Tamandua tetradactyla: one gene and its partner. The protein of the gene in region 1 purifies or fractionates together with the protein of each later gene. This does not show direct contact. Links are inferred from orthologs where the notes say so. Each region holds a gene or a part of one and is shown on either strand. Other genes may lie near its edges.

Region 1 (10,109 bases):
AAAGCACTCTTTACCAGCCTCCAATCAGTAAAATGAGAAAAATAACATCCTCCTCCTTCCAAGACGACAGAGAATGCCTGTCAATCTGGTACAACACAGGCACTCAGTCAATATGAGTCCCTTCTTTTTCTCCAAGAACCCTTAACCTTAACAGAATTCTAAGCACAGCCCCAAGGATGATTCTCTTGCCCTTCAAACATCATAACCTACCCACACCAAGAAGCCTCCTGTGAGAAGACTCTAACAAAGCCAGGCATGGCACACAGCAGGAAGAGACAAGCAATGGCAGGCTTGCTCTTCTGGGAAGCTTCTGGAGGGATAAAAAACCTGACAAGAATGCCCTAGCCCAGACTTATTCTATACCCTTCAAAATCAGGCACCACTATGAGTGTAGGGCTCCAACTACGCAGGAATTGGAATAGAGCATTTAAATCCCTGTCTTTCCTGACTCTCTAAGAGTGTATAAGAGAGAAAACATGGAAGGGATAGTAACAGACAAAAACAGAAAATCCTCTTCTACCCAATCCCTTCCCCAGCTTACGTTCCCAGTATGCCTGCATCAGTGGGCTCTAGGGTGCTGAGAAGAATGTACAAGTGGTCATTCTTATCGATTTCCTTCAATTGGATTCCAAAAACCTATGGATGGGGAGAACACCTCATGAGGCCAAAAAATTCAGCTTCCTAGCCAACCACAGTTCCCCATGTACCTAGGGTTTTGAGTGTCAGAAATAAGTGAGATAATGCATGTAAAATACTTAGCTAAGTGCCTGGCACACAGTAATCACGGAATAAATGCACTACTGTTTTCTATGCAATTAATGGGAATCTAAGGAGACAGAGAATGGGGAATGGAAGGGAGAGGTAATCATCTGAAATACATCACAGGATGCGTCCAATAGTGGACAGAAGCCACAACTAAGAATTTGGGTGGACTGGGTCCTAGCTGTGCTTTTACCTCTGACTGGCTATGTAATTCATGGCTAGTCTATGCCCCTCCCTAGGCTACCATCTTGCCAGTGATAGGGCTGGATTAGCAAGTATATGTGGTCCCTCCCAGAAGGGACATGTACACCTTTGTTCAGGGCTTCCCCATTGTGCCCATCCCCCAGGGCTACCCCTTCACCTTCTCCAAGGAATAGCCTGCTCGTTCAATGATTTCAGGGTACACATCAGTGTATTCTTTGATGATGTCCTTCAGCATGTCTGCAAGGGGAGAGTGTTGCGAGCACCTGGGCTGAAGAGAAGCCAGGCGGCCCCCATGCCCTGCCCAAGCTATAGACCCTTGCCAACCATGCTATGGGTGGTGTAGCACGGTTCTGTGCTAATGAACACAAATGCGAGCACTGCCAAAGTAGAACTACGGGAGGACACTGGTCTGAGCATAAGAGCAAAGGATGCCCCCAGCACATGGGAGAGAGGGCAATGGAGAGCAGAGTTCAGGGAGAGCTGATGGTTAGTAAGGCTTTACCTGAGCGCTTGATGGGGATCTTTGTCTGGTCTTTAACCAGCAAGTATTTCACCAAATCATTTGCCTGAGAGAAGAGGAAAAGATGGAAAGATCAGATATGTTTCCAGAAGATTTGAGAGCATGGCAGAGCAGAGGGCAGACAATGCAGTAGAAAAACCAGAGTGGAACGGCCAGAGTTCTTACCCTGCCTTGCAAAAGGGCTACATCCCGAGGTGGCAGCACTTGGGGTTCTTGGGATGATTGAAGCTTGGCGGCTCTACGACGAGCCTTTCCCCTACGGGCCTTAGGTGACCTCAGTGACAGCAAGGCTCTCCGGGCCCAAGCAGCCAACCGAGTCCTCGATGCCCTGCGGGCCCAAAAGGCTATGGGGCCCCTTGAGGCTCTGCGGGCCATTGAGGCCATTAGGGCCTTTGAGACCCTTCGACCACCTGTGGTTCCAGAAGCCTGACTCTGATCACTGCTGCCATCCTCTTCCCCATTCAGATGCTTCACCTGTATCAACAAAGAGGGAGCTCAACATCACCAGATGAAGCAGATGGTCATTTTTCCTCATGCTGAGACTTCCAGGAAGCTTCCCCAACCCCACCCCATAATAACAGCCTGCTTCACTAGCCTCTGGTGTCATACAGAGTCTTGAGTTTGTCTTTCACTGACTTCCAGGCAGGAGTTTAATCTCCCCACCAGGCCAGAAACACTGCAAGGGTGGGACGTAAGGCTTCTTCTCTTCTTATATCCACTACTGGCTCTGCCTGTACTACCCTGGACAAGTCACTTAATCTCTCTGTGGCTTAGCTTCCTTCTCCATAACACTAAGACTATGATCCCTAACTGGTAGGAGTTACCTTCAAAATTCAATGAGATAACCTGTGTGAATGTGCCTAGCTCAAGTCCTAACACATGGTAAATATAAACTGAATTATATTCAGATTGCAACTAAGTATATTCATATCTCATCTCTCCCCCAATGTAAGTTCTCTGAAAATACGAACTATATCACATTTCTCTCAGTGTTCCCACAGTCTTGAAGAGCACAGGGAACCTTGGTAACTTTTTATATAACAAATGAACCAACAGGGGGAATGGAAACGCCAGGGTGGAAACTACAGAGCTCTTACCTTTCGGGCTTTCTTGGCCTTGACTTTGGGCCGGGTATCCTGATTCTCCTGAGCCTGGGCAGCTGTATCCTCAGACTCAGGTTTATCTGCCAGAGCCTGAGAGGCAGCAGCCTCAGTTTCCAGGGCCTTTGTAATGACCTGGGTGCTACCCATACAGCTGACCTCTTTGGGCTCACTGGCAGGTACTGTCACAGCCTGCGAGTCAGTATTCTGCATTTTAGTGTCAGCAGGTGGACTCTTGCTGTCAGCTGCCAGAACCTGGGTATCAGTAAGCTGAGTGGTAGATGAGGCCTGGGTAGCAGCTGCCTCCTGAGACTCTGGGGCCTCTGAGACCTCTGTGGTCTTTGAGGCCCCTGGGGTATTTGAGACCTTTAGGGTCTCTGAGACCTCTGATGTCTTTGAGGCCTTTGGTGCCTCTGAGACCTCCAAGTTCTGAGTCACTGTCAATAGGGTCTGCATCATCAGGCTGTTTTCTTCTGAAGCTTCTTCAGCCTGCAAGAAGAGGAAGCCGGAAAGTTCAAGAACCTTCTCCCCACCCCCAACTAGGCAAATGGCTCAAAAATCCCAGGGCTGGGAAGAGGACAAGAGGTGGCCTCACCTGGAGATGGGATGGACCCGCACCACCACTCTCACTTGCGTCAGACATTTCTCAAATTGCCTAGCAAAAGAGCCTGAAGGAAAGAAAGCCTAGGTCAACGGCAGAGCTCACTGAACGTACTCTTCCGTTTTCTGCTTAAGGCTGACCCTCACCTTCCCTAGGGCCCCAATCCCACACCTCCCCCATCCCCAACCGCAACGACTTCGTTCTCAGATAAAGGAATCCAGAGCGTCTAGAGCCCAATTCTCCGCAGCCGCACCCTCCCCTTCTACAGGAAGATGTGCCAGCGCGGCAGCTCTAAGGACCCCGCCCCTTTTCCCAATGCACCCCCAGCCGCAGGTCGATAGTACGCATGCGCGTCCGCTGCAAGGCCCATCTCAGCTCCGCCTACTTTTCTAACACAAGCCCTTTCTTTGCGGTCCACCGTGCACATGCGCACTCGGCAGCAGGCCCGTCTCCCGGTCGGCCCTTCTCTACACGCCCCTTTCTAGCGATCCATAGTACGCATGCGCGCTGGTAATGGTCTCAGCCCAGCACCCTTTCCCAACACACGCCTCTCTCCAGGTTTCCAGTACCATTAGTTCCCGCCCCGTCTCCAACAAGCCTCTCACCCAAATTATCCCAGTGTCTGGTGGCCCCGGCCCCTCCCCAACTTACACCCACCCCACCAGGTCCACAGTGCCTCCTGGTCCCGCCCTTTTTCCTAACACACCCCCCTCTAAATAGGGCAAAGTGACCCTTCCCTAATACATCCCCCTCCTCAGATCAGTATTGAACTAGTGGTTCCATCTTGCGCCGGGCCAAACCGGGTCCAGTGCCTTCCCTTCCCAGCCGGACGGATCCAGTATGATCCGGTGCTTATGGCAGGTTTTCGCCAGATCCCAGAGGGTGGGGCCAACACCTACCCGGTTCTGATCCGAAGCTGGGCCCAGCTCACCTCGTCCTCCTACAAGCCCCAAATTGCGTGCGATCTCTCCAAGCCCCTCCGAAACTCGAAGACTGCCCTCCCCCCTTCAGGCCGGAAGTGGTCCCGCCCCTTTCCGCCTCCCTAGGGGGCCTCAGTCCCAGCCTGTCTGCCCCTCCCCCATTCCCTGCTCCTCATTCCTTATTCCCCACCCCACCCCCGTAGTCCCTCGTTCCGTATTCCCTATTCCCCCATCACGTTTTCTGTTTGCCCCCACGGAATTTTCTATTTCCATTCCGTACATCCTCCTCCGTGTTACCTATGCTCCCCCACCCCCCACTATTCCTTAATCCCTCTGTGCATCCCTATTCTCTTCTCTGGATCTCCATTCCCCTTCAGTGTTCCCCTCCCCCGTCGTACACCGCGTCCCCCACCCGACATGCCGGATTCCCGGTTTTTCCCCTCCTCACCCGCTATTCTCTACTCCCCAGTCCCTACAGCCTACTACTCTATCAGTCGTCGTAGCTGCACCCCACTCCGGGTCACGTCTCCGCCAGCTGCAGTGCTGCAGTAAGAATTGCCCACCTGCCTAGCTATGGGTTCAAAGAAGCTGGAACCACTGTCTAACTGCGAGGGAACCCCAATCTCAACGACCCTCACCTAGTCCGCGACCGAGTCCGGAATGCGTCTGCCTTCTCTCAGTCCTTCTCGAAGTCTCAGACTCCAGGGCTAAAGCTGCAGCCAGCCCAGCCCAGCCCAGCCCCTTTCCGCAGCCCCCTGCCACCCCACCCTTCGCCTTCCTCGGGGGTGGGGCAATGGGGCCCGGCTCAAGGCTGTCTGACGCCAAAGCCCTATGCCACTGTACTAGGCTTGGTCTGAAGCCTTTCCAACCAAAACCACCCCCTCAAAGCCCTTCATTCATTGAATTTGTTTATTTTTATATCATTATTTTACCTTATTACAAAGGTACTGTCTTGTCGTGAAAATTCTAATAATGCAGAAATATATAACATACCAGTGAAGTACTGCCCTTATCCCATCCCCCAGAAATAACCACTCAATATTTTGACATGCATCCCACCAGCTTTTTCTATTCATATACTTATTACTTGGGTTTCCCCCCACAAATGGCACACTTATATGGTACACAAATGGTACACTAGTCATTCGTGAACTAGATTTTTTCCAGTTATATATTCTGAACATCTATCTCAGTTCACATTTTTCTTAGCTGCATGATCTTTTCTAATATACTTGCTCCATAATTTATTTAGCCAGCCGAGTATCCATGGACATTTAGATTGCTTCCTTTTTTTTGGTTTTATTTTTGTTTGTTATTACAAACAATGCTACAAGGAGAATTCTTGTATCTGTATCCTTCTGCAATTGTGCTTGTATCTGTAGGATAAACTCATAGAAGTGGAATTGCTAAGTCAAGTACTAGAAAAGTTTTCCATTTTAATACAAGATTTGCAGACTTGCCTCCCCAAAATATTAAACTGAATAATACTTTCACCAATGGTATTTAGCATATGTTTCTATGTCAAATATGTTTGTTATTTATGGTATGTTTTGCTAACCCAAATGCTACAAAAAGTCTTCCATTTTGATACAAAATTTGTCAAGTTACAGCCCAAAAGATACATGGAATAACATTCCCAGCAATAATGTCCTCATATATTTATGCGCTGCATATATTGCAAATACTGTTCATGTTATTTATGATCATTTTTGCTATACAAAATAGTTTATTATTTACTCAAATATATCAGTTTTTTTTCCTTTATCATATCTGGGTTCTGCATCATGCTTAGAGATGCTTTCCACACTCCTAAACTACAACAATTCCTGTTTGTTTTTTTCAATCACTTTTTTTTTTTTTTTTTTGCATGGGTGACCACCGGGAATCAAACCCAGGTCTCGGGCATGGCAGGCGAGAACTCTGCCACTGAGCCACCATGGCCCACCCTGTTTTTTTCAATCACTTTTATGGCTTTATTATTTACATTAAAATTTTTATCATTCCAAAATTTGCTTTAGTAAAAGGAGTGAGGTAGGGAATTCAGTTTTATTAATGTCCCCAAATCATAATCACTATCCATATATCATGTACAAACTAATCCACTCTGCTATTGATCTGAAATGATGACTTAATCACACATTATTTTGTTTCATGGCTGCTAAATCAAATACCATGCAATGAGTTGGCTTAAACAATGGGAATTTATTGGCTTAGTTTGGAGACTAGGAGAAGTCCGAAATTAAGGAGTTGTCAAAGCAATGCTTTCTCCCAGAAGACAATTATGTTTTGGGGCTGGCTGCAAGAGATCGCTGGTCCTTGGCTTTTCTGTCACATAGCAATATACATGGAGGCCTCTCCAGGCCTCTCCTTTACTCTTCCAGGTTCTGTTGATTTCCAGCTTGTGGCTGCTCCCTGTGGCTTCTCTACCATTTTGGCCTTCCTTCCCTATAAGGTCTTCAGTGATAGGATTAAGACGCATCCTGATCCAACTGAGACACACCTTAACTGAAGTAACCTCATTGAAATGTCATATTTACAAGGGGTTCACACTGATGGGAATGAATGAAGTTTAAGAACATGTTTTTCTAGGGTGCACAGCTCTAAGCCATCACACATATTAGATTCACATAAGTAATTAACTCCATGCAAGAGAACAAAATAAAATGTATAAATAATGGAAAATAGACAAAATTGTCATTAATTAACCTGGAAAACCCAGGAATATCATCTTAAAAATTATGAAAAACCATAATAAAATTCAGCACAGTGGTCAGTTACAGAAAAAATAGTCAATATCTTTCCTACATGTAATTCGATGTAATTCAAATGGCCACAAAGCCTTCTGCTTGATGGCCTTTACTAAACAGTGAAATATCATGAGTCCATATATTCCATGGACAATTTAAAACATGCGCATACTCACACATTCCCAGGCATTCAAGGTAGGCTTTTGTTCTCTTGTCTCCTCTCTCTCTAAATTGCTGCTTCCTCCAAGTTTGTGACATCAGCTGACCACTTTCCTGCTCCCCATCCACCAACTTTATTTCACACCAGACACACTACCTTAGCCACTATCTCCAGCATTTTAAGTGTCAAAATATCCTTTCTGATCCTCTTCATAAACATTTGCTAGGTGACTTACAGCAGGGGAGAGTCTAACTGAATAGCCAAAAGCCAATTTTGATATTGTCATAAGGCATCATAGGATATATAATTATTTGTGTGTTGTAATATCAACATAAAGTTAGCATTTGATTTTTATTACAGCAATGTATATATGTGGCAACAAATAAAATAGTACAGAATTTATGATAAAAACCAACAGTCCCTGCCTCAATCTTCCCCATCCATCCCACTCCCAAGAAGCAATCTTTAAACCATTTATTATTATTATTTTTAGTTCTACTGGCAATACCCTTCAGTACTCTAGATAATATACATATCCTCTGTTTCTTAGTTGATAAAATTTAGACAATATCCCACTGACTCCCCAGTATGGAAATGAGGGTTTTGTTTATGTACACTGCCTCATTTTTCCCTCCACTCTTCTGCAACATTTAACAGTGATACTCTTTTGTGTTTTTCTCTTGGTTGATTTAAAAATATAATCAAATCTTTATTTCTCGTTCCATCCATTTTTGAGACTGTCCACTTTTTAGGACAAGGTTATTAGTACCACTACCTACCTGCTGCCCATACAATGTATCATACTGTCAGTTTCATTATTCCTTTTACATTATCCAGGTTATTAACATTTATATTTTGCTCTGCAGCCACAACCAAGTCTTCTCTACTTTGCCCCCCGGTTGACTCTAAAACCTGAAAATCAATAGACAGCATTTACATTATCGTGACATTGTAAATATTTTTCAAAACTCAGCCAAGTAGAGAGCCAGGAATACATTTCCTTCTCTACAAGTCCATGTCACAATCCCTGGGCCTCTCAGAGTAACACGTCTCTAGCATCGAGGTCAAAAGAAAGCTCCTCTTATACTCCAGCTGTTAACAATCATACTATATTTTGTTTTGCTTAATATTTAGACTACGATTTTTTAACAGTCCCCCCCTACACACATAGAGTTTCTAATAACTTTTCTTTTTTCCTTGAATTATTTGTCTTTATCATATTCAGTCATTCAACAAATATTTATTGAGTGTCTGCTATGTGCCAGACACTGTTCTACGGGCTGAGGATACAGCAGTGAACAAAACAGATAGCAATCCTTGCTCCTTTGGAATTGATAGTCTAGAGAGAGAAGATAAAAGTCAGTGCAAAGGCCCTAGGTTAGGACTATGTCTGGCACTTATTTTTTCCATGCCTGGCAATTTTGAAGAGTATAAAGATCAGTGTTGCTAGTGCTGGGGAAAGTGGGAAGGGAAGTAATAGGAAATGTGGCCCTATAAGCCACAGTGAGATCCACAGGAAGATTTTGAACAACAGAGAGACAGAAAATGACTTGGGTTTTAAAATGGATTCCTCCAGCTACTGTAAAAATACACTGATGGGGGTGGGAAGGAGTGACAACAGCAAAAAAAGAGGACCAGTGAAGAGGCTGCTGCAGTAATGGCTTCGGTTGGATCCACTGTTTCCTACATTCATTGTTCTGGATACCTGTCCTACACATAACTTCTAATGTGATTTAATCAAATTCTCCTCCATTGTTTCTATTATGTCTGTCTGGGATTTCCATTCAGATATTAAGCCTGCTAGATTGGTTTATGTGTCTTAAATTTTCTTATATTTTCTGTTTTGTTTTGTTTTGTTTTGCCCTATATCCTGGGAGATTTCCTGTACATCATTTTCCAGTCCTTCTGCTGATTTTTTTTTATTTCACCAATTTATTGTCAATATCCAAGTAGTCCTTCTTTTCTCTTATTGTTCCTGTATTGTAAAACCTAGTTTCTTTTTAAAAAACAGTTTTATTCATACACTGTACAATCCATTCAAAGTGAACAATCAGTGGTTCTTGGTTTAGTCACATAGCTATTCATCACAACCACAATCAATATGAGAACATTCTCATTTCTCTGAAAAAAGTATCCCATACCCCTTATGCCCCCTCCCCATGATTGACTCAACTTTGGTATAATGCCTTTGTTACAATTGATGAAAGAATATTTCAATATCACCGTTAACTATAGTCCTCCGTTTGCATTAATTGTATTTTTCCATATACCACCTTATTATTACCACCTTATAATAGTGATGTACATTTATTCTAGTTCATGTAAGAACTTTCTTATATTTGTACAATTAACCACAGTCATTGTCCACTATAGGTTTTGCTATGTTATACAGACCCACGTTTTATCCCCTAGTTTTCCTTCTAAAGACATACACGACCCTACACTTCCCCTTTCAAACATACTCACGCTCAGCACCGTTAGTCACTTTACGGTATTGTGCTACCACCATGTAGTGTTGTGTTATCCATTTCTGAACATTTACAATCAACCTTATTAAACCTTATTTACAGATTAAGCATCAATCTGCCCATTCTCTACTCTCTTTCTATCACCTGGTAACCTATACTCTAGATTTTAGCTCCAAGAGTTTGCTCATTATAATTAGTTCATATTAGTGATACTATATGATATTTGTCCTTTTGTGCCTGGCTTATTTCACTCAACATAATTTCCTCAAGGTTCAGCCATGTTGTTGCATGCATCAGGACTTAATTCCTTCTTATAACTGCATAATATTCCATCATATATATCTACCACAGTATGGTTATCCATTCATCCGTTGATGGACACTTGGGCTATTTCCATCTATTGGCAACTGTGAATAATGCCACTATAAACATCGATCTAAAAATGTCTATTCACGTCCCTGCTTTCAGTTCTTTTGAGTATATACCTAGTAACAGGATTGCTGGATTATATGGCAGTTCCACATTCAGCTTCCTGAAGAATCGCCAAACTGCCTTCCAGAGTAGCTGCACCATTCTACATTCTCAGCAGCAGTGAATAATCATTTCTATTTTCTACACATGCTTTCC
Region 2 (9,812 bases), on another chromosome or scaffold:
CAATAGCATAGTTATATCAATTGTGGCATTAATGAAATCCATCACACATTATACAATATTTAACAGACAAATGTAGCACAGTCTTAGAAACTGTGATCTTGAAATCCCTTGAAAGGTTTTAGAGAATAAAATAAAGAAATTAAGATTGTGGTGCTTCAGTTTAGAGATCTTCATTTAAGCCACAGATTCAGAGTATTGCTAATTGCTGCTTTGATTAACCATGGCAAAAAGAGTTAATTAATGTCCCAGAATGAGATGGGAAGAGTTTTGAGGAGAAGGGGTGGGGGTGGGGAATGGAGATGGGGAAAAGGGTTTTGTTTTGGGGTGAGGCAGGGGGTGCTGGAGAGGGGAGAGGACACTGAGAGAGAGGGTGGGGAAGGAGGTACCCTTCTGGTCAGAATATGGTTATTCCAACTTAAGTTACAAGTCTTTTGAAACATTTTTTGTATTTAGAGCTGAGCAACAGAACCTTACCTTTGAGCCTCTGGGCCACCAGCTAAAGCTGCTAGAAAAAATTTACATGCAAACACTGACATATTTCACAAGTCATATCCACTGTTTTACCATTTTGTTCACACAGGTAAAATACACTCGGAGCAATTTTTTTTAAAGCATTTTATTTTAACTGCATTTCAAACACGAGTGGAACTGCACTGCCAACCCCCCCCCCCCACCACCACCTTTTAAATCAAGCCTCTCCTACTGTTTTCTATGTAAAAGAGTAAATGATTGGCTTACCTCGGGCTCTTCCCTGGGGGAAAAAAAATTATTTCATTTTTTTAAAACACAGCCACGCCCACCCCCTTGGAACCAGCCCAGTCAGCCCAGAGTGGATTTTCTTTTCTTTTTTTTTGTTTTTGGATCTAGACTTGCCCAAAGCAGATTAAGTGCCCCCCGCCCGACCCCTCTCCTCCACCCCCTACAAGGTAAGCTGAGTGTGCGCAGAATGCTGAATCTTTGGGTGCAGTCCTGGACGCCCCAGATACCTGTGTGTCTGGTTTTTCAACGTAAAAGGCGGGAGGGTTTGGTGAACGAATAAGAAGTGAGGAAAACGTTTAGCGCAGAGGGAAAAAGAGAGAAACACACAGAAAAAAAGGTTATGGAGGCCGGTGTGCACCGGCCCCCTCACGCCAAGGCCCCTCAACCCAAGATGTCCAGCCACCTTCCCCTCTGTATTTTCGCGCTGCCCGCTGCAGAGCGCCAACGTACAGGTACCACCAGAGTGCGCGAACACGGAAAGTTTTTTTTACCGCGCCATAGCGCAAAACACAGAAAGCCACTTCTCCAGTACAAGTACACAGTCGGCGGGTAATTTGGGGTGCCGGGGTTGGGGTAACTGGGGATACTTGAGCTGATCATGCACAGGCAGACACAGGATACGGACACTAACACATACCAAACACAAGCTTTCCGAGTCCAAGCAGCCGTGCCAGGCGAGGCGGGGGCACACCTTTCCCGACGTCCCCAACCCACCGCGGCCCAAACCGTCCTCGCCTGGGGAGGCACCAGCCCCCTCCTCAGCGCTTCCTGGCTCACCTGAAGCCCTCGCCTGTTCTGCCGGCCCCCACCCCAAGGCTCCGGGGCAGCTTACTGTCGCTGGTGCCGGCTTGTCCAGCCCGAAACGACCCTCAATGTCGCTCTGCGCCACTTTTCTCCCTGGAGGGCACACACCTCGGCCCCCGGAGCCTGCCCGGGTACCCTCCCGCTCCCAGGGTAAAGTTAGGGTCCCTTGCAGGAACTTCCGAGCAGGCTTTTCCTGCCTTTGCCCGGACCCCCTCCTCCGGCCGCCAGGCCCCGAACCCCACTGGGCAGCCCTGCCACCCCCTCCCGGGCCCCACCGGCGGCTCTGCTCCTAGTGGGGAGCGTCCACCGCATTACCTAGAAGCAGCAGGCGGTGCGTGCACATGTACCCCATCTTCTCAGCCTGGAGTTGCTTGTCGATGAGTCTGCTGCGTTTCCTCTCGGCGCGCTTCTGAGCCCGTTTCTCGAGCGCTTCTTTGCGCATCTGTCTGCGCTTCTCTGCCAGTGAAACCTTCTTGACTTTGGGGGGCTTAGGAGCTTTGGGCTGGGGGCTGTCGGATCGCCCAAAGCAGCCTCCAAAGGCTTGGATGAGGAAGTTGCGGAGTAAGTTGCGCCGGGGCTTGCGGCGGCGGCGGCGGTTCTTCCGGGGCTGCCCCCAGCGGCGGCCTCCGGAGGTCCCCTCTCCTGGGTCGTCTTTGCTGGCAGAGGATTCATCGCTGCTGACGGACTCCTCGTCGTCGCTGCGGTCGGACCTGGGGCCCCGCCGGGAAGCCGAGCGACCAGGCTGCGGAGTAGGCGGGTCAGCAGCCTGGATCTCGGGGCTGGGGGGTCTAAGGCGCTGCATCTTGAGCCTGCTTGATGCCCGGGTAGGGACGTCGGCTCTGGTGACCCGGCCAGCAGGGGCGGCCCTGGCAGCAGGGGTGGCAGGGGCTGCAGAGACCGCGGCAGCGGTCCCGGTGGCAGGGGCTGTAGGGGCGGCAGCAGCGGCCCCGGCAGCGGGAGCGTCAGGGGTGGCAGCGGTGGCCCCGGCGTCAGGGGTGGCAGGGGCGTCAGGGGCTGCAGGGGCATCAGCGGCACACCCGGTGTCTGGAGTGTCTGGAGCTCGGTCCCCGGCATCAGGGGCTCCGTCCCTGGCGTCTGGGGCTCCATCCCCGGCGTCAAGGGCTCCATCCCCGGCGTCTGGGGCTCCATCCCCGGCGTCAGGGGCTCCGTCCCCGGCGTCAGGGGCTCCGTCCCCGGCGTCAGGGGCTCCGTCCCCAGCATCAGAGGCTCCGTCCCCGGCGTCAGAGGCTCCGTCCCGGGAGTCAGGGGCACCGTCCCTGGCATCAGGGGCTCCGTTCCCGAGAGAAGGTACTTTACCTCCCTCGGCGGGAGCAGTGGCTGAGCTTCCTTCCATCTCGGCTGCTTCACCCTCAACTGGGGGTCTCCCTGGCTCTGCTCGCTCTCTTTCAACTGGGGCTCGGGAGACCTCGATGGGCGGGCCGTCAAGCGCGATTGGGGGGCTGTCCATGTTGACGGGAGCGTCGTAGACCCCAATGGGGGCGCTGCCAATCTTGAGCTGGGGTCGGGCGATCTCCAGCGGGGGGCTGTCACCCGCGAAGTGAAGAGGAGGTCTGACAGCCTCTCGGACTGGACTGTCGATGGCGCCCGGGGCCCAGAGGGGGGGCGCGTTCTCGGCGGGAGTGAGGCGGACCGCGCTCGGGACCGCGACTGCTGAGACCTGGGCCCCGCGGTCGGTCTCTGGGAGGACTTGGGAGAGCCCAGAGGGTGGGCTGTCGTACCCAAAGCCTGCTCCCTCGAACCGAAATGACATAGCCTCTTCAGGGAGAGGGCTGGATCCTCCAAAGCCTGCGTCTGCAGACCTGGGGGGTCCAGGCTCCTCTGGGGGAGCGCTGGTGACCCCCAAACCTGGGCTGGCCGGAGAGAGGGCTCCGAGCTGCAAGGGAGGTGGACTGCAGCCTCCCTGCTTAAACTCAAAGGGCAGAGCTTCCTCTGGTGGAGGGCTGTAGCCTCCCAGGCCTGACTTGGCACCATCGAAGGCTTGGGGCTCCATTGCTGCTGGGCCAAAGGCCTCGAGGCTTGCACTGGCCCCTGCACGGGCCCCAGCGAAGGTTCTAGGTTGCTCCTGGGTAGGCCAGAGGCCTCCCACGCTGGGCTCCTCGGTCTGGAAGAGCTTGACTTCTTCGGGAGGTGGACTATGGCCTCCACAAGCTCCAGCTTCCTGGAAGGCCAGGCCGAGGCCCTGGGAACAGGGCTCGGAGACCTCAGGCGATCCAAAGGCCTCACCGCTAGTCTTGACCGGGATGGGCTCGCTGGTAGGCGGTTCGGTCTCCATCGCTTCGGCTGCGCCAGGCCCAGCACTGGGGGCAGCTGCCCCTGGGGCCTCCAAAGGTGGTTGGTTGGGCTGCTCCCCGAATTCAAGGGGGATATCGCGTTGTCCTGACATATGATTGCCGTCGAGGCGGTTGCGCAGGCCCATAACACGGTGGCGGCCTTTCAAGATAATTTGGGGGCCCCGTAAGACGGAGCACCCAACCAAACTAGGGTGAAAAAATTTTTTTGGAAAAAAAAAATCGAAGTACCAATTAGAAAGTTCTCCAACCTCACTGCTCAACCTGGGTGAAGTCTGGTAGTTCAACACTTCAGACCCTGGACCATAGCAGTAGCAACTCTACCGTTGCTGGTGGACTCTTGGTCCCTTCTTGGCCACTTTTTATCCCCTTAGCTGCCCCCTTGGCCCCCCCTTGTCCTTGTCCTTGTCCCTCCTCTCTCTCTCTCCCCCTCTGCTCCAGGCTAGCTCCGCCTGCTTGGATCTGAGGAGCGTGCCGATTCGGTCCGAAAATCGTCTGTAGTGCCCGCTCTCTGCCACCAGGGGACGCTGGCTCCTGGCACTCGCAACCCCGGACTTTGGGTAAGGGGCTGATGAGCGATGAGCGCAGGCCTCCGAGGGACGTTTTGGTTCCTTCCACTCCTCTCCCTGACGATTTGGAGGCTTTCTCCTCGCTTCATCCCTGGCCAGAGAGAAAGCTCTCCCTGCGTTGCGGGACACGTGACGCAAGACGTGGGTCCCGGGCAGGTTGAACGCAGGAGCTGAAACCCTGCCTCCCTGACCTAACCGACTCTACCCCCCAGGGAGGGGTTACTGCAGGAGGGTGTCTCACCTCAAGATACCTCTGAGCCGCAGCCCCCAGTCCCGGAAAGCCCCCGATCCCAAGCTCCAAGTTCCCGGCAGTTCCAAGTCCATAGCGCAAGGCTCTGGGAGCCCGGGAAGGGGGATGATAGCGCATGAGAATGCGACAGGTGGTCGTGAGCCCACCGGAAAGGTGGAGGGGAAGTGAGGGGCTGCCGAGTGCTTGCACATGATTGCTTTTAAATCGCCTTAGGGCACTTTCCATCTCTTCTGCAGTTTTCCTTTGCTGCTTGCCGAGGCTGGCTTCCGTGAAGCCCTTCAAAGTCCCCCATCCCCACCAAACTCTAGGGGTCTACGCAGTGGCCTAGAGCAGCGCGGGCAGGGGGTCTCTCCACGTTTTTGTATAGGGTGAGGCAGAGTGAATAAGAGGGTCTTGGGCGTGCACCACTGAATGCCAGGCAAAACCTCCCGGGAAAAGTCACGGCGGTGGCGGCGGCGGCGCGGCAGCCCAGAACCCGGGAGTGCGGGGCGCACATGGAGACCCCACAGAGTGGAGGCCTGGGAGTTCTGCAGTTCGCACCATTCTGGGGAAGAGACAAAGTGGATTTAGGTCCAGGTTTATGGCCGGCTTGGAATAGTCTCGGAGATTGGCACCTCTGAGCACGCTGAATCCAAAGGCACACACACAGTGCCGCGGCACCACGCGGCTCCAAGGCTCTAGCACCCGCGGCAAGTCCAACTAGTCCCCTGGCCCTTCCGCAGCGCCCTTTCAGCTCCTTTCTTCTTGCTAAGGGTGTCTCAGGGTTACCGCTTTACTTTCCCATTGCTAGAACACGCAGAAGCACCACTAAGCCCGGCCACAAGCCAGTGGTCGCCCGGCTGCGCTATTACCATAGCACAGGGTGGGCTCAGAGCCCACAGGGGTAAACACCCGTCGTGTCTGGGTGGACTCGGCGCGTGCTGTGTACCGCGCCGGGTCTGGGGATCTGCGGAGGGATCTGACCCAGGGGAAAACCTGCAACCCAGGAGAGAAAATCTCGCACGCGCGGGCAGCCTGCCCAGCGGGTAGCACAGACTGGCGAGCACTTTGGGAAGGGACAGGTGGTTGCTTGGTCTGCGGAACCATAGGGAAGGGATGGCCCGCTGATTGCCACATCGGGTGGGCTGCCGCTCGCAGGACGCACCGCCTGGATCTCGGGATCGCTATAACCACAAGCCGCTGCGGGCGAACCACAGCACGGTCCGATCTTAAGTTTAACGCGTCCTTCTTCCTCAGAAGGAGGGTACCACAGCTACCGAGCCCCGACCTCCCCCCCACCCACCGTGCAGGGGGCTGTTGTGGGGGAGGAACGCTGGTAAAGCTGAACTAACGTCTGGGGGTCCCTCCAAAGGCGCTTTGCCTCCTCCCTATGGGACTACATGCTTCCAAATGCCAACACTGAACTCTGGTTCAAACTTCGGCCAACTACCCGCACGCACCATAGCTCAGCCATTTGGGAACCTACTGAATGGGCCCACTGGGTCCCAATAGCCAACTCACTCCCCCTCCAACTCCAGCACCGGGTCAGCCATTGGGCTGGGGTCACGCCAATCAAGTCTTCCTGGCGAATGAGCAGGGGGCGTCCGACCGGAAACCGGATATGGGTGGGAGGTCCAATAGGGGGCGCCGCGTTGGAACGCCCAAAGAGGTGTTGGTAGGGTGGTTGGAAGCCGTTGGTGGGCGGGTGTATGGCCGCCAGGCCTGGGAGGCCACGAGGTCGGTTAACGCCGTGGGGTCACTCTGCCTGACACCACAAGTCACAAAGACTGGGTGGGGAGGCCAGGGGCTCCAAGGGGTCGACCCTTGGTCTCGCTGATGGCGGTTGGCGAACCTGCCTAACATAGGGGACCGCCGCTGGGGCGAGGTGAGGAGAAAGAAGATTTCCAGGGCCTGGAGGTAGAGATCCAGGACCCTGAGGAGAGGGCTTCCCGCCCCGATGCAGTTGTTGACCCCAGGAATGCTGAGACCTGCAAAAGTGGAAGGTCAGTAGACGCTGGGGTTGAGTCCCAGGGAGATCGCGCTGGGGACCCCAGAAGGAACCTTTGTTCACACCAGGCCTTGCGCTCAGCCCACCTCACTTCGGATGGTGCGAATTTGAGATCTCTTTCCCAAGGCATCCATCAAGGGATGGTTTTGGGGCCTCTTTGTGCAACGTTGTCTTGGGCCCGTGAGACCCCCTTTGTTCAACGTTCTTTTGGCTTATCTTGGTTATTTGACAGGGGAGCACATACATGGAGGGGATCAAGGCTGGGCAGATACCAGCCCCCCCCCAAAGGAAATAGCAGCATAAAAATGAAAGAAAGACTTCCACTTGGGATGGGGGGAGGGGGGGACCCGGGAAGGCTTGGTGTAGGAAGAAATGGCGTTTCAAATGGGCGTCAAGGATAGATGCCTTGGCTATGAATAGGTGGGGGGATGGGAGCCAGCTCACCGGGAACAAAAGATCCAGTGGTAGGAAGCATGGGGCATGACCTGGTAACAGAATAAGCCATCTGGGCTCTTGGAGGGGCAGAGGAAGAAAAGCAAGGAAAATAGAAGAATGTCTCTGAGGATGCTGTGGGCTAGGGCAAACACTTTTGAGGCTATTTTTGAAGGAAATAGAGAGGACATGGAAAGTTTTTTTTGTCCTGCAAGTTATGTTTTGAGCCATGTTTTAGGAAGGATTGAGGCAGCATGGAGGAGCCCTCAGGAAGAGAACAAAGGAATGGGTATGTGTGTGCACAAAGGAGGCCATGGCTGGCTGTGACCTTTTAGGGAGTGAGCCACACACAGTCAGGGGAGCAGGATCTCCTGAAATTCTGTGCTAGAAATGCACAAAAGCGGAGGGGGCCCAATGGCACTTGGCTGGCCAGCCATGAGTGAGATGGGGGAAGTGGGGAGGAGCCGGCATGGTGGCGGAGCCAATTTAGTTTTAGACACTGCAGAGTTGATGGGCAGTTTTGATGGAGGTTGTGACACACTAGGAGGATGGGTCTAAGTTTAAAAGAAGGCAAAGCCAATAAATTCAAATTGATAATTGTCCTTAGCAGGAGATGAAATCACTGGATCAGAAAATACTCTCAAGGGGAGAAATATACTTGGTGATAGAATCTTGGACAAAGCCAATATTTGGGCCACTGGAGAGGGCAGTGAGGGCTAAGGGGCAGGTGGGGGAACCCCAGAGGGAAGTTAGGAAGTGGTCAGCATATGAAATCTGCTGATACTCGGGGTTGGAATTCTTTTGTTGTGTGGGGACTATCCTATACAGTTAAAGATACTTAGTAGCATCCCTGGCCTCTACCCACTAGATGCCAGCAGCATCTTCTTAGTTGTAACAACCCCAAAATATCTCCAGATATTGCCAAACATCCTCTGGGGGGCAAAATTGCCCCCCATTAAGAACCACTGCTGCAGGATGAGAAAGGACAATGAGACTTGAGTAGGAATCACCTTCAGATTAAATTAGGACCAGGGAGAATAAATCCTAACACTTAAGAACCCTAATGTTTCCCTTTTTGTCCACTTTTATTTTTCTGTAGTGACTGGCTACTATAAGCTGAAAACCTCACATCACTTGGGCAAGTGGGGTTAAGAGTGAAACTCAACAACACATTGGCTGTGCGGCTTGAGGAGAGACCCCAGAAGCATGGCCAGATATTTGAGGAGCTGACTGATCAGAAAGGTAGCCTGAGGACTGGCTTGGGGATTTGAGGAAGGTGGTATGATAAGATCTATGTGTGATCAGTAAATGGCTGGCTGGGGGCACTCTAACTGTAGGGCAGTCTATCGAGCCTGCTGCAAGCAAGCTGGCTGTCTCACTGGCTCAAGATAGAACCCAGTCTTCATGTACTGCCTGGGGATGGGTGTTGGTGGGCAGCCTAGTCCAGGGCCCATAACGGGCAGTAGTTTTTAGACTCATCCACTACAATTTTGTAACAATTCTGGATGGTTTTCCATCAGGGAAGAGGCAAATATTTGATAGAAATGAGCAGGGACAAGGAAATCAATTAATGGGTTCATATAGCAAAGGAAGAGGAAGTCAAGATAGGCTAGTCAGGGTGCCTGAAAGAGGAGTAAGTTGGATGAAGGATAAAGACTGCCAGGGCCTTGACTAAGAGCGTGTGGTAGATGGAAGGGCTGGAACGCGGCCATGTGCTGTGTCTGAGGGGGAAGGGGTTGCCTGTATAAACTCAGATGACAGTTTCTTGAAAATTGTGTATACTTGGCTATTTAAAAATAATAGATTTTCTACAATGATGACTTAAGAAAGGGATGGGAAATGCTACATATGTTTCCACTAACTCTGCATTTCTGAAGAAAGTTAGGCCTGTTTGAGCAAATGGCCCAGGTGCCACAGGTATCAAATTAACAGACTGTGTAAATAGATATCCCCAAATGGAAAGAACTTAACTTCTTCAGTGTTGACTCTCCGAATGGTACCACTACCACCTGTAGGAAGGTAGTCCACTTCCTTGGCATCCTCACATGGTGCCCTGGGCCTTCCCAAACTGTCTTCTCACTACAGTGGAAATGTCTTCAGGACAGCATAAATTAGAATCAACAAATGATTGTGTTTATACTTAATTTTTGGGATTCTTATTCATTGCCAAAAGCACAAGGTACATCCAAATTTTAAGTAACTGCCTATAAACTTTCTGAATTCTTCCCTATAGCCAAGAAAGAGAAAGCAAAGTAGAAGAGGGTCCCTTGAGAAGAATTAGGCAGTGGGGAAGAAGGAAGAGAGCAGAAAGCAAGAAGACCCAGTTTTTTCAGCAGCTGTTTGCTCTCCTTCCAGCCTGTGGCTTTGGGAGGGCAGTACACAAAATTCTTCTCTTTAGTCCGTAGCCCACTCATGGTTAGTTGATAAGTCTCTTTCAAATGAAGAAAGGTGGGGGGGGGGGGGGACGGCTTTTCATCAGTTGGGAGGAAAAAGCCAAAGCAGAAAGGAAAGAATATAGGAAAGAGAATTCAGCCCACAATTAAGTTTCTCAGCCACACAATGACAAATGTTTTCTGAGTGCTGACTAGCCATAAGACTTTGAAGCTGTTCAATAGTAATTACTGTTCAATTAGGACTGGCTGCCCCTGTCCTTTTACCTTTTGGTGTTTCTTCTGCCAGCCTTGGCCAGTGGAGGCAGCACC

The links. The genes of interacting proteins can lie anywhere in the genome.
Region 2: the proteins of MAGED2 (region 1) and guanine nucleotide-binding protein G(s) subunit alpha isoforms XLas purify together in Homo sapiens (affinity purification with mass spectrometry; 3 studies listed by BioGRID, counting the BioPlex papers as one, with this or other methods). This does not show direct contact. The link is inferred for Tamandua tetradactyla from reciprocal best matches to the Homo sapiens genes MAGED2 and GNAS.

Annotation. Positions count from the first base shown.
Region 1 is NC_135353.1:113,825,437-113,835,545, forward strand, and holds the start of MAGED2 (melanoma-associated antigen D2), read right to left. Parts: upstream 4,874-10,109; 5' UTR 4,746-4,873; intron 4,211-4,745; exon of another isoform or gene 4,087-4,210; intron 3,255-4,086; 5' UTR 3,230-3,254; coding exon 3,182-3,229; intron 3,076-3,181; coding exon 2,584-3,075; intron 1,961-2,583; coding exon 1,652-1,960; intron 1,533-1,651; coding exon 1,469-1,532; intron 1,204-1,468; coding exon 1,124-1,203; intron 637-1,123; coding exon 542-636; intron 1-541. UniProt on the Homo sapiens protein: Regulates the expression, localization to the plasma membrane and function of the sodium chloride cotransporters SLC12A1 and SLC12A3, two key components of salt reabsorption in the distal renal tubule.
Region 2 is NC_135327.1:26,448,895-26,458,706, forward strand, and holds the start of guanine nucleotide-binding protein G(s) subunit alpha isoforms XLas, read right to left. Parts: upstream 4,016-9,812; 5' UTR 4,001-4,015; coding exon 1,879-4,000; intron 1-1,878. UniProt on the Homo sapiens protein: Guanine nucleotide-binding proteins (G proteins) function as transducers in numerous signaling pathways controlled by G protein-coupled receptors (GPCRs).